3 linked regions of the Macaca fascicularis genome follow. Each later gene encodes a partner of the first gene's protein in a complex. Links are inferred from orthologs where the notes say so. Each region holds a gene or a part of one and is shown on either strand. Other genes may lie near its edges.

The links.
Region 2: SNRPF (region 1) and PPIL2 share a complex: the UniProt entries of both Homo sapiens proteins name them as parts of the minor spliceosome. The link is inferred for Macaca fascicularis from reciprocal best matches to the Homo sapiens genes SNRPF and PPIL2.
Region 3: SNRPF (region 1) and USP39 share a complex: the UniProt entries of both Homo sapiens proteins name them as parts of the U4/U6-U5 tri-snRNP complex. The link is inferred for Macaca fascicularis from reciprocal best matches to the Homo sapiens genes SNRPF and USP39.

Annotation. Positions count from the first base shown.
Region 1 is NC_088385.1:102,892,172-102,895,919, reverse strand, and holds the start of SNRPF (small nuclear ribonucleoprotein F), read right to left. Parts: upstream 2,678-3,748; 5' UTR 2,556-2,677; coding exon 2,553-2,555; intron 574-2,552; coding exon 448-573; intron 39-447; coding exon of another isoform or gene 1-38. UniProt on the Homo sapiens protein: Plays a role in pre-mRNA splicing as a core component of the spliceosomal U1, U2, U4 and U5 small nuclear ribonucleoproteins (snRNPs), the building blocks of the spliceosome.
Region 2 is NC_088384.1:31,438,652-31,441,932, reverse strand, and holds part of PPIL2 (RING-type E3 ubiquitin-protein ligase PPIL2), read left to right. Parts: intron 1-1,807; coding exon 1,808-1,864; intron 1,865-2,575; coding exon 2,576-2,648; intron 2,649-2,737; coding exon 2,738-2,800; intron 2,801-2,918; coding exon 2,919-3,052; intron 3,053-3,281. UniProt on the Homo sapiens protein: Has a ubiquitin-protein ligase activity acting as an E3 ubiquitin protein ligase or as an ubiquitin-ubiquitin ligase promoting elongation of ubiquitin chains on substrates.
Region 3 is NC_088387.1:35,971,219-35,974,966, forward strand, and holds the start of USP39 (ubiquitin carboxyl-terminal hydrolase 39), read right to left. Parts: upstream 2,144-3,748; 5' UTR 2,112-2,143; coding exon 1,844-2,111; intron 1-1,843.

The sequences.
Region 1 (3,748 bases):
ACAGTCAGTTCAATTTCTTCGGCAGATGTGTCTTTCCCCTGAAGGAATGAATTTCCTCAATAACTTTGGTGTTGTGCCTTTAGCATCATTCATTAAAAGACTCATGAATTTCACTTGAAAACTTTCTTTCAGGGCTAAATGATGAGAAATGTTTTGTTTTCTCCAGCAAAGTAGTGTGTTTCCCTTACAGTATTATTATGAATTAAATGTCTGAGCTCTTCTTACTTTAACTACTAGGAATAAAATCTGTGGCTGAATTCTGGTTTAAGTCCATGTCTTGTACCTAGTATATCATAGTATCCTCCCTGGCTTTGACTTTATTTTTTAATTTTGCCGTACATTTGTCAATTTAATTGTATGTATTCTTATTAGTCAGACTAAACCTTTGAGCAATAAGGTGAAGCAAACTAAATGCAATGTTATGACCTTTACAGCTCTTTAGCTTACCTGCATGTTCATGTAGCCATCTACAGATACCAGATAGCCCTTGTACTCCATTCCCCACTTAAGTTTCACCATCACTGGCTTTCCTGTTAGTCCATTGAGGAAAGGTTTGGGATTGAGGGGTAAACTCTGCACAAAGAACAAAAAAGGATCCAATTAATTATTTTTCCTCCCACCACCAACTCTCTTCTACTAAATACCAATATTTTGTGGTATGCAAATGAAGAAAACTCTTGACTCATTATTTTAGTACACAATTTTCACTTTTATTTATTGGAGAGTACCAGGGAAATTTAAATATCCAGTTAGTCAGTATCACCTTTAACCCATCAAAACAAAATACTCACTATTCACTTAAGATAACACCGACTACATACATCACTTACTGTTCTGAGCTCTAAAGAAACAAAGATAAAGGCACTTTAAAAAAAAAAAATGCGGGCCAGAAAGGGTGGCTCATATCTGTAATTCCAGCATTCTGGAAGGCCAAGGCAGGGGGATCACTTGAGGCCAGAATTTCAAGACCAGCCCAGGCAACATAGTGAGACCACCTTCTCTACCAAAAATAGTCAGATGTGGTGGTGCACACCTGTAGTCCCGGCTACTAGGGAACAGAGCAAGACCTTGTCATAAATAAATAACAGAGTCCCTGTCAAGAAGTTGGAGATGGGGAGGGGGGCTCCTCACATACAAATAATTATACTGCATATTGCAACATAATAAGAGGAGATATACTAGGCACAAGGGTACCGAAGCAATCCAGGGAAAAAAGGAAAGGTTGCCTGAAATAAGTTAACCTCAGTTTTAAAGAATGAGAATTTATTTCCAGAGCGGGAAAAAATCCTGTTCCAGGCAAGGCTAGCTACTTATGTAAAAGGAGGGAAGAGTGAAGCAACAAGGTGATTTTGGGGACATACAATTCAGCATTGTCAGTCAAAGTCCCAAATATAAGACTACAGAAGGAAGCAGAGGGCAGATGACGCTTGACAGTCTTTAACTGTGGAAGCTAGGGCTAGGTCCTAAATGACTTTGTCACTAGCACTGCCTCTTATAGAAATCACTTAAAGTTTGTTCAGCAAACCATTAACATCTCCAGTGAATTCGGTTTTTGCCTTTTTCTGCTCACTCACCAGTCAAAGAAAGAACAGAACTAAGAAACTTGGCTACTAACCCCCTCTAACATAAACATATTCGGAGTGACTTGATACGGCGATTACTCCAATAACCTAATGGGTCTCCAGTTTTCATTCTCCAATTTATTATCCACCACAGCAACATGATTTTTTAAAGTGCACATCAAATTGTCATATTTCTGCTTAAAATGATTCAATGGCTTCCAACTCAATCATTTTCAATTGATTTGGAGTACAATCAAAACCTCCCAATACAGCCTAAGAGGTCCTGTCCAACGCCTGCTCCTCCGACACCATCTCGTAACCACTCTTCCTGCAAGTGGCTGTACCTTTTTGTCAATTTCTCCAACTGACCAAGCTTTCTTTCCGGCCGCAGGTCTTATGCGCCTATTCCCTGTGCTCGGTACACTCCTCCTCCTGCTCTTTAAAGGGTCTATTTCATGACACTTAGGCTTCAGGTTAAATTCCACCTCCTAGGGAGGCCATCTCTGACTAAGCCTCTAAATGTCTAACGCGCACCCTCACAGCCTCCTGTCTGCATTCTTCTTAGCACTTATTACTTGCAATTGCATATTTGTTATTTTTTGACTGTCTGTCTTCCCCAACCAACTGAGTTAAACTAGAGCATGGCCGTATCATTACTTTCATGCAATGAAAGTGAATTTTGGAGTGTGGTTAAGTGGGAAGTGCAAATTCTCTTTGAGTTTTACCCCGACCCTGTAGCCACAAACAAGAATATCCCAAGCCCGGATTCAAACAAAGAGGAGAAGGCACGGGTACTCCTAGAAAAAGAAAGGCATCGGGAGGAGCACGCGCCTCAGAAATCCTAAAAGCAGAGTGAAAGAAGCTGGCGACCGGGTGCGCGGCGCCTCACGCGGATGAATGGGAAACGCGCGAAGCAACCACTAGGCCCCGCGAGGTGGTCTCCCTCCTTCTCTTTCTCCCCGCTTCTCCCGCCGTTCTCGTTCTCCTTACCATCGTAACCACGGCCGAATATTGCAGGCTACTCACTGCCGACCAGGCTGCCGCTTGTCCCTCGTGACTACAGCAGGTACCCCAGGTCCCGAGCCGCTGAATTTCAAGAAAAATGGCCGCCAAACAGGAGTGTGACCTTTCACCTCCCACCACGGCCCTTCCTGCCTCTGTGATTGGACGAAAAGAGATGCGCGCTGATTGGAGGAGATGGTTGGACCAGTATCTCCTGGCAACCAGCAGCGGCTTGAGTTTGCGCCTGGCCGGCTGCGCGCGGGTCTTGGGAAACCCGCTCTGAGGAGCAAGGTGAGGCAGCCAAGGACTGGAGGCAGGCCGGTGTTGTAAATGTGCGGTCTGGGAGAGGCTGTGTAACGGATGTGACTTCTCCCCAACTTGGTTAATGGGGATTTTACTTTGTCTTTTTACACCCGTGAGAATGTTCAGGATCCCAGAGTTCCTTCCTCACTCTTCCAACAGGTTCCATGATTTGGGGGCGCCTCTGCCGCAGGCCGTTTCTACCTGAGTATTCTCTCTTCTGCAACACCCATTTCAACCCCTTTTAAAGGACTTCGGGGGTAGCCAGACAAGACTAGGGGCGGTGAAACGCACCGAAGGGAGTCGGATACAGAATTTATTTTAAACGAGGTCAGGTTGTGTCTGGGATATGATGTCATGTCCCCCCACCCCCCACGACCCCGCCGGCCCCATCTTTCTTTTGCATCGCCAGCAGAGACTGGCACGGCCTTCTTACGTGCATTTGAAATTACCTAAGGGCGTAAGCAATATTTCCGCTGTCACGGATTAAAACTTTCGACGTAACGGTGTTATCTGAATCTCACTGGTTTTTGTCGTAATCCTAGTGAGTTCGGCTCACTCTGATCTGAAATGCTAAATGCAGTTCTTGGAGAACACGCCCTTTGGGAAGTAACGCTTTTTTGCGGCCCTGAAGAGATGGATTTGAGGTTGAGGATGAAATGTTGGTTGTTGAGGCACTGTGGAGCAGTGGGCAAGACTTTGGAGAGGGCCTGCATTCGGAACCTGCGTCTATCAGGCGCAGCCGGTGTTGGGCAGTGTCTTAACCCTCAGGGCCACTGTTTCCACGGCAGGAACGCGGCTTTAAAAACGGAACCATCCTCAGCGTGGTTGCGAGAATTTAACCTAAAACGGGGCTTGGCCTTGTAAAAGCTCAGTGTTTCACA
Region 2 (3,281 bases), on another chromosome or scaffold:
GGAGGCAGACGTTGCAGTGAGCCAAGATCGCGCCACTGCACTGCAACCTGGGTGACAGCGAGACTCCGTCTCAAAGGGAAAAAAAAAAAAGACTTTTGGGATGAATGAGAACGCGACAGACCCCAGCTGTGAGCCTTCAAAAAGCCCTCAGAGGGCAGAGCCAGAGAGGCTGAAAGGAATACAGTGGAAGATACTGGGTGGGTCCCAGCACTGGTGGCACGGAGCACCCCAGGGTGGTGCAGGCAGGCACAGCCCACATACCCTGCTGGTGAGAGACAGGACCTAACCCCCGCTGCATCGAACATGCACCCCCCCAGCCACGCAGGGACATGATCCTGAGCCCACCGAGTCTGACCACCCCCAAGGCCACCAGACAAGTGTCCACAGATGTCACGTCTACAATGGGGCAGACCTGCGCTCTGACCTGCAAGTGGTTCTCTCTGGCTGATTTCTAACACAGTGAAGGAAACTAGAAGCAGAATTAAACTCAGATACGAGGAAAGTAAAAGAACCATCCCGAGGCAAGCTCCTCCTGGAAATTTTTTTTTTTTTTTTTTTTTTTTGAGGCGGAGTCTCGCTCTGTCGCCCAGGCTGGAGTGCAGTGGCGCGATCTCGGCTCACTGCAAGCTCCGCCTCCCGGGTTCCCGCCATTCTCCTGCCTCAGCCTCCCGAGTAGCTGGGACTACAGGCGCCGCCACCACGCCCGGCTAATTTTTTTGTATTTTTAGTGGAGACGGGGTTTCATTGTGTTAGCCAGGATGGTCTCGATCTCCTGACCTCGTGATCCGCCCGTCTCGGCCTCCCAAAGTGCTGGGATTACAGGCTTGAGCCACCATGCCCGGCTTTTTTTTTTTTTTTGAGACAGAGTCTCGCTCTGCCGCCCAGGCTGGAGTGCAGTGGCGTGATCTTGGCTCACTGCAAGCTCTGCCTCCTGGGTTTACGCCATTCTCCTGCCTCAGCCTCCCGAGTAGCTGGGACTACAGGCGCCCGCCACCTCGCCCGGCTAGTTTTTTTGTATTTTTTAGTAGAGACGGGGTTTCACTGTGTCAGCCAGGATGGTCTCGATCTCCTGACCTCGTGATCCGCCTGTCTCGGCCTCCCAAAGTGCTGGGATTACAGGCTTGAGCCACCGCGCCCGGCCGGAAATTTTTTTTTTTAAGACGGCGACTCGCTCTGTCACCCAGGCTGGAGTGCAGTGGTGCCATCTCAACTCACTGCAACCTCTGCCTCCAGGGTTCACGCTATTGCCCCAGCTGTTCTTCAACTCCTGGACTCAAGCGGTCTTCCTGCCTCGGCCTGCCAAAGTGCTGGGATTACAGGCGTGAGCCACTGTGTCTGGATGACCTGAGCATTTTCTTTGTCCATGTTTATGTTACCCACGTTTCTGAATCCCTTGATTTCTGCTCTGGCTTTGTTGCCTCCTTTCTCCTCAGTCCTTCGACAGGTCCCTTGATGGCACGGGGCTGGCTCTGGTTTTCCAGGTGTCACCTTGTCCCAGCCACCTCCCACAGACCTGCATGACCAGGCTGGCTCTGGGCACAGGGACTCCCTGACAGGCACTGGGCAGCAGCCGGGGCAGCAGGAGGACCTGGGGACAGCTGGAGGTCCGGGGTTCCCTGGGCAGCCTTGGGGAGCTGATGACCTGCCCTGGTGGGCAGCAGCAGGGAGCCCCATGCACCCACGTGTCCACGGAAGCCGCAGGTTCCCAGAGCCGACTGTAGAGGGTGGGCAGCTCCTGGTGTGCTCTCAGGCAGGCCAGATGCAGAAGGTGCCATGCTCTCCCTAACCATCCAACCCTCCTCCCCAGCTTCATCACGTTTCGCTCCTGTGCCTACCTGGATAAGAAGCACACCATCTTTGGACGGTAAGGGAAGCGGCTGTGTGAAGCCTGGGGGTCAGTGGGCTAGGTGGGGTCCTTCCCCACCTGAGGCCTCCTCGCTGCCTTCTCTGTGGACCTGAGCCATGTGCCGTGCTGGCTGTCACTGCTGGGGGTTGAGGCTATGCAGAGCTGGGACAGAGGGTGCTCCCTGTGCCAGGGAAGTCTGGCTCTCCAGACCCACCGGGCTCAGGAGAGGAGGAAACACCCCTGCGTGGCCTGGCCGCTGCCCTGTCTCAGACCTGATGGCGCGCCACTCACAAGCCTGGCCACGCCCAGCTCCCTTCACCCTCTAGTCCAGGGGTCTTTCCAGCATTGTGGGCCGCGTGGTCTCTTGACGCCCACCCAACTGTGTGGAAGCAGCACAAAACAAGGTGGATGCAGGTGATGTGGTTCTGGCCAAGTGGAACTCTGTTACCAAACCAGTGGGGACAGCACAAGCCACATTTGTGACTCCTATTTTTCCTGTGGGTGGGGAACCAAAAGAGAACCAGAAAAAAAACCCAGCTGGATATGCCCAGGGCCATGGTCTGCTGACCCCGCCCTTGCCACGCCCTCTCATCGCCTTCCTGGCTGCTGCCCGAGGACCACCAGGCCAGCCTCGGGGCTCTCAACCCCTCTTCCCACATGCCTTGGTGCCCGGCCCTGAGGGTGCCCTCCTTGAGCACATGCAGACCCGCCTCTGTCTCCCTGCTGCAGTGTTGTTGGGGGCTTTGACGTACTGACAGCCATGGAGAATGTGGAGAGTGACCCCAAAACTGACCGCCCTAAGGTCTGTGCCCAGGGAGGTGGGGCGTGGCGGCTGGGGGCCAGGCAGGCGGGGGGAGGACCTGCCGTGCACTGAGTCCCCTCTGCTGCTAGGAGGAGATCCGCATCGATGCCACTACAGTGTTCGTGGACCCCTATGAGGAGGCTGATGCCCAGGTGAGGGGGCACGATGCCACCACCAGGAGGGTCTGGGCCAGCGCACCTTCCCACCCCAAGCCTAGCATCTGTCCTGCCCGAGGTGCTGCTGGTCAGCCTCCACCCTCTTGTGCCACAGATCGCCCAGGAGCGGAAGACACAGCTCGAGGCAGCCCCGGAGACCAAAGTGAAGAGCAGCCAGCCCGAGGCAGGGAGCCAGGGCCCCCAGACCTTCCGCCAGGGCGTGGGCAAGTACATCAACCCAGCAGCCACGTGAGTGCCGCGCGGTTGGCCTCTCTGTTTCCCATGGTGTTTCCTAGGGCTGACTGAGGTCTGAGGGTCAGATCCAGAGGGGCAAGAAAGCCACGGGCACTGGACCTGGGCATGGGCTTGTGCTGTGTGGCCTCTGCAGCCGAGGGACTACCTCTGAAGGCCTGGCCGGGGCCTCTGTGGGTGGAAGCCATCGAATTCAGGGGGACGTGGGAGCAGCAGGTGGGAGGGG
Region 3 (3,748 bases), on another chromosome or scaffold:
ATGTACTACATAGTTTAAAGAGTGGCTGGGGTGGGTGGCTCATGCCTGTAATCCCAGCACTCTGGGAGGCAGATGCAGGCAGCTCACCTGAGGTCAGGAGTTCGAGGCCAGCCTGACTAATATAATGAAACTCCGTTTCTACTAAAAATACAAAAATTAGCCAGGTGTGGTGGCATGCGCCTGTAATCCCAGCTGCTTGGGAGGCTGAGACAGGAGAATCGCTTGAACCCGGGAGGCGGAGGTTGCAGTGAGCTGAAATCGTGCCATTGCACTCCAGCCTGGACAACAAGAGTGAAACTGTCTCAAAAAAAAAAAAAAGAAGAATGTACATGTGTATCTATAAATCTACCACTTGTCAAAAACTTAAGGGGGTCTCAGATCTTACCCTACTTGCAAGCTAACAAGTTAGCCTGTCACAGTTTTACAAATGCTGATGGAAAGCATGTCACTACCTGGCCTGAAATGAAGGGCAATTTATTACAGCAATGACAGTAGCCAGAATATAGCCTTGATATCAGTTTCCCAAGTGAATTTCTACAAGGCAAAGTGAGGAGAACCCATGCACACAGTGAGTTGCCTTACAGGAGAGTAACCCTGAGCTTAGAGAATCTGAACCATTAACCATTTTTTTAAACGAGGTCTCACTCTGTTGCCTATCCTAGTCTTGAACTCCACCTCATCCTATAGAGTAGCTGCGATTACAAGTGTGAGCCACCACACCCTGCTCCAAATCTTTTATAATGGATTGTGCCCTTGTCTCCTCCTTGTTTTGTAGGGAGACACCACTGCTATCTTCCAAGGCTGCCCACTACACGAACATCCTTAAGGAGAGTCTAGGAGCAAAGGCAGTCAGGCAATGATCGCAGTATGTGCACAAACTCAAGAGACTAATGGAGAATTGTCTCCAGACTTTATTCAGCTTAAAAAGCGCTACATAATTCATATTTTAGAGCAGGTGCCTATTGCTCAGGCATTCTGAATATCTTGATTACAGAAATTACAAGACCTTAGAGGTTTTGTAAAAACTGAAGGAAAGCCGTGCACAGTGGCTCACGCCTGTAATCCCAGCACTTTGGGAGGCCGAGGCGAGTGGAAAACTTGAGCCCAGGAGTTCGAGACCAGCCTAGGCAACATAACAAGACTTGCTTCTATTTTAAAAAGAAAAAAAAAAAATTCTTTTTTAAAATGGAAGGAAGTAACACTTGTAAAATCAGCACTGAGCCCCCACATCAGGCATTCGATGAAGGGAAACTGCTATTGTTATGACTGTTATAGTTAGAAATACCATACGGTTGGCCAGGCACGGTGGCTCACGCCTGTAATCCCAGTACTTTGGGAGGCCGAGGCGGGAGGATCACGAGGTCAGGAGATCAAGACCATCCTGGCTAACACGGTGAAACCCCTTCTCTACTAAAAATACAAAAAATTGGCCAGGCGTGGTGTCGGGCGCCTGTAATCCCAGCTATTTGGGAGGCTGAGGTAGCATAATCGTTCGAACCCGGGAGGCAGAGGTTGCAGGAGCCGAGATCGCGCCACTGCACTCCATCCTGGGTGACACAGTGAGACTCCACCTCAAAAAAAAAAAAAAGAAAAGAAAAGAAAAATAGAAAAATAAATAATATACGGTTGAGATGAATACTGTCTTCTTCAGAACAAGTCGAACAGCAGAACCATAGAGTCTGGTTCCCTCCTCTTCTCCCACCCAAACCCCACCCCTGCCCCGCCAACCCCACCCCTCCCCCGCCAAACGCGGCGCAGGGACCTGGCGGAAGATTAGAGAGACAAGAAAAAAGAACGCGAAAAAAAGAGGCTCTCGCGCCTAGCCCGGCCCGGCCCCGCGCACCTCGCACCTCCCGCTCAGGCTCCGAGTCCTCATCGACCTCGCGCTCCCGCTTCACCCGCACAAACGGGACAACAGAAGCCTGGGCCTCGCGCACGCTCGCCGGCTCGACCTCTCGCTTCACGCGCACAGGGCTGCCCCGGGAGCTTGCCGCCTCAGGCTCCCGCTCCCGATCTCGCTCCCGCTTGACGCGACCGGAGCTGCCCCGCGACTCGGACTCTCGCTTCCCGCGGGTGGAACCGCGAGACTCCCGCTTAGACCTGCCGGACATAGCCACTATCGGCAGAGTCTTCCAGCGCAGGCGCCAGGCACGCTCGAGCGCGCGGCACACGGCCAATCAGGAGAGGGGCTGGTAGGGAGCACCGAACGCTCTACGAGTCGCCACTGGGGACAAATCACGCTGCAGGAAATTTGTGGGCGGTGCTGTTCCTGTAGCGGTTTCCCCGCCCCTGAGAACCTTCTGTGGGCCTACCGTCGTTTACAGTTTACTGACACAGGAACCTTTACTGGCGACAGTTTTCTGGATAAAAGTTGTCAGGCCGGGCGCGGTGGCTCACGCCTGTAATCCCAGCACTTTGGGAGGCCGAGGCGGGTGGATCACCTGAGGTCGGGAGTTCAAGACCAGCATGACCAACATGGAGAAACAACATCTCTACTAAAAAATACAAAATTAGCCAGACGTTGTGGCGCATGCCTGTAATCCCAGCTACTTGGGAGGCTGAGGCAGGAGAATCGCTTGAACCCGGGAGGCGGAGGCGAAGGTTGCAGTGAGCCAAGATCGCGCCATTGCACTCCAGCCTAGGCAACAAGAGCGAAACTCCGTCTCAAAATGAAATAATAAAATAAAAGAAAAAGAAGCTGTCATTCGGCCCCAGATTTGTGCCTCGAAACCACCATCGCGAGGTCGTTTCCCACAGTCTCCGCGGCTTGGAGGCTGACAATCCTGCGCAGGAAAACTAGGCAACATTCCCAAATCATCCCCTTGACGGCCCTAATTCTACTGTTAAGAGGGTTCTTGGTACCATGAAAACGCAAATGCCCGGTAGGAGCGGATTTACCATGAAGCTAATAAAGCTCTAACCTCAGGACCTGCCTTGAACTTGTTTGCTTGTTTGAACTGTTCCATTGAGGTATAATTGACATACAACAAACTACATGTTTAAAGTGTGGAATTTAGGCCAGGCGCTGTGGCTCACGCCTGTAATTCCAGCACTTTGGGAGGCAGAGGCGGGCGGATCACCTGAGTCAGGATTCGAGACCAGCCTGGTCAACATGGCGAAACCCCGTCTCTACTAAAAATACAGAAATTAGCTGCGGTGGCACGAGCCTGTTATCCCAGCTACTCAGGAGGCTGAGGCAGGAGAATCGCTTGAACCCGGGAGGTGGAGGTTGCAGTGAGCCGAGATCGCGCCATTGCACTCCAGCCTGGGCAACAAGAGTGAAACTCCATCTTAGAATACAATACAACACAACACAGCACAGCAATTTACTGAATTCTGACTTGAGGTATATGTCAGAGGCGTTCGAACCAGACCAACTCCACTGAAGGTTAGGAAAATGAGGCTGGGACTTGACAGGCTGCATTCCTAGGAAGTTAGATATTCCTAGCCTTTAGATGTCTCCGGTTAAGGGAACAGAGAGATAATGTTTACTAAACAGATCCAGACTTGGGAGTGTCCTAATATCCTAATAACTGGAGAATACAGGCATTCCTAATTTTGCTTTAAAGATAATATTGCTTCTTGCAAAATATAGTAATTAATAAAATTAATCCTTTATCACAAACCCTTGTAGCAGAGCACATCTCCCCATAATCTTTTTATCCTATATGTAAACAAGCATTGTAGCCAGGATGGACGCGTTCCTCCTCTTTCAGGAACGCCCTACTCTATGGGGTAGCTGTACTTT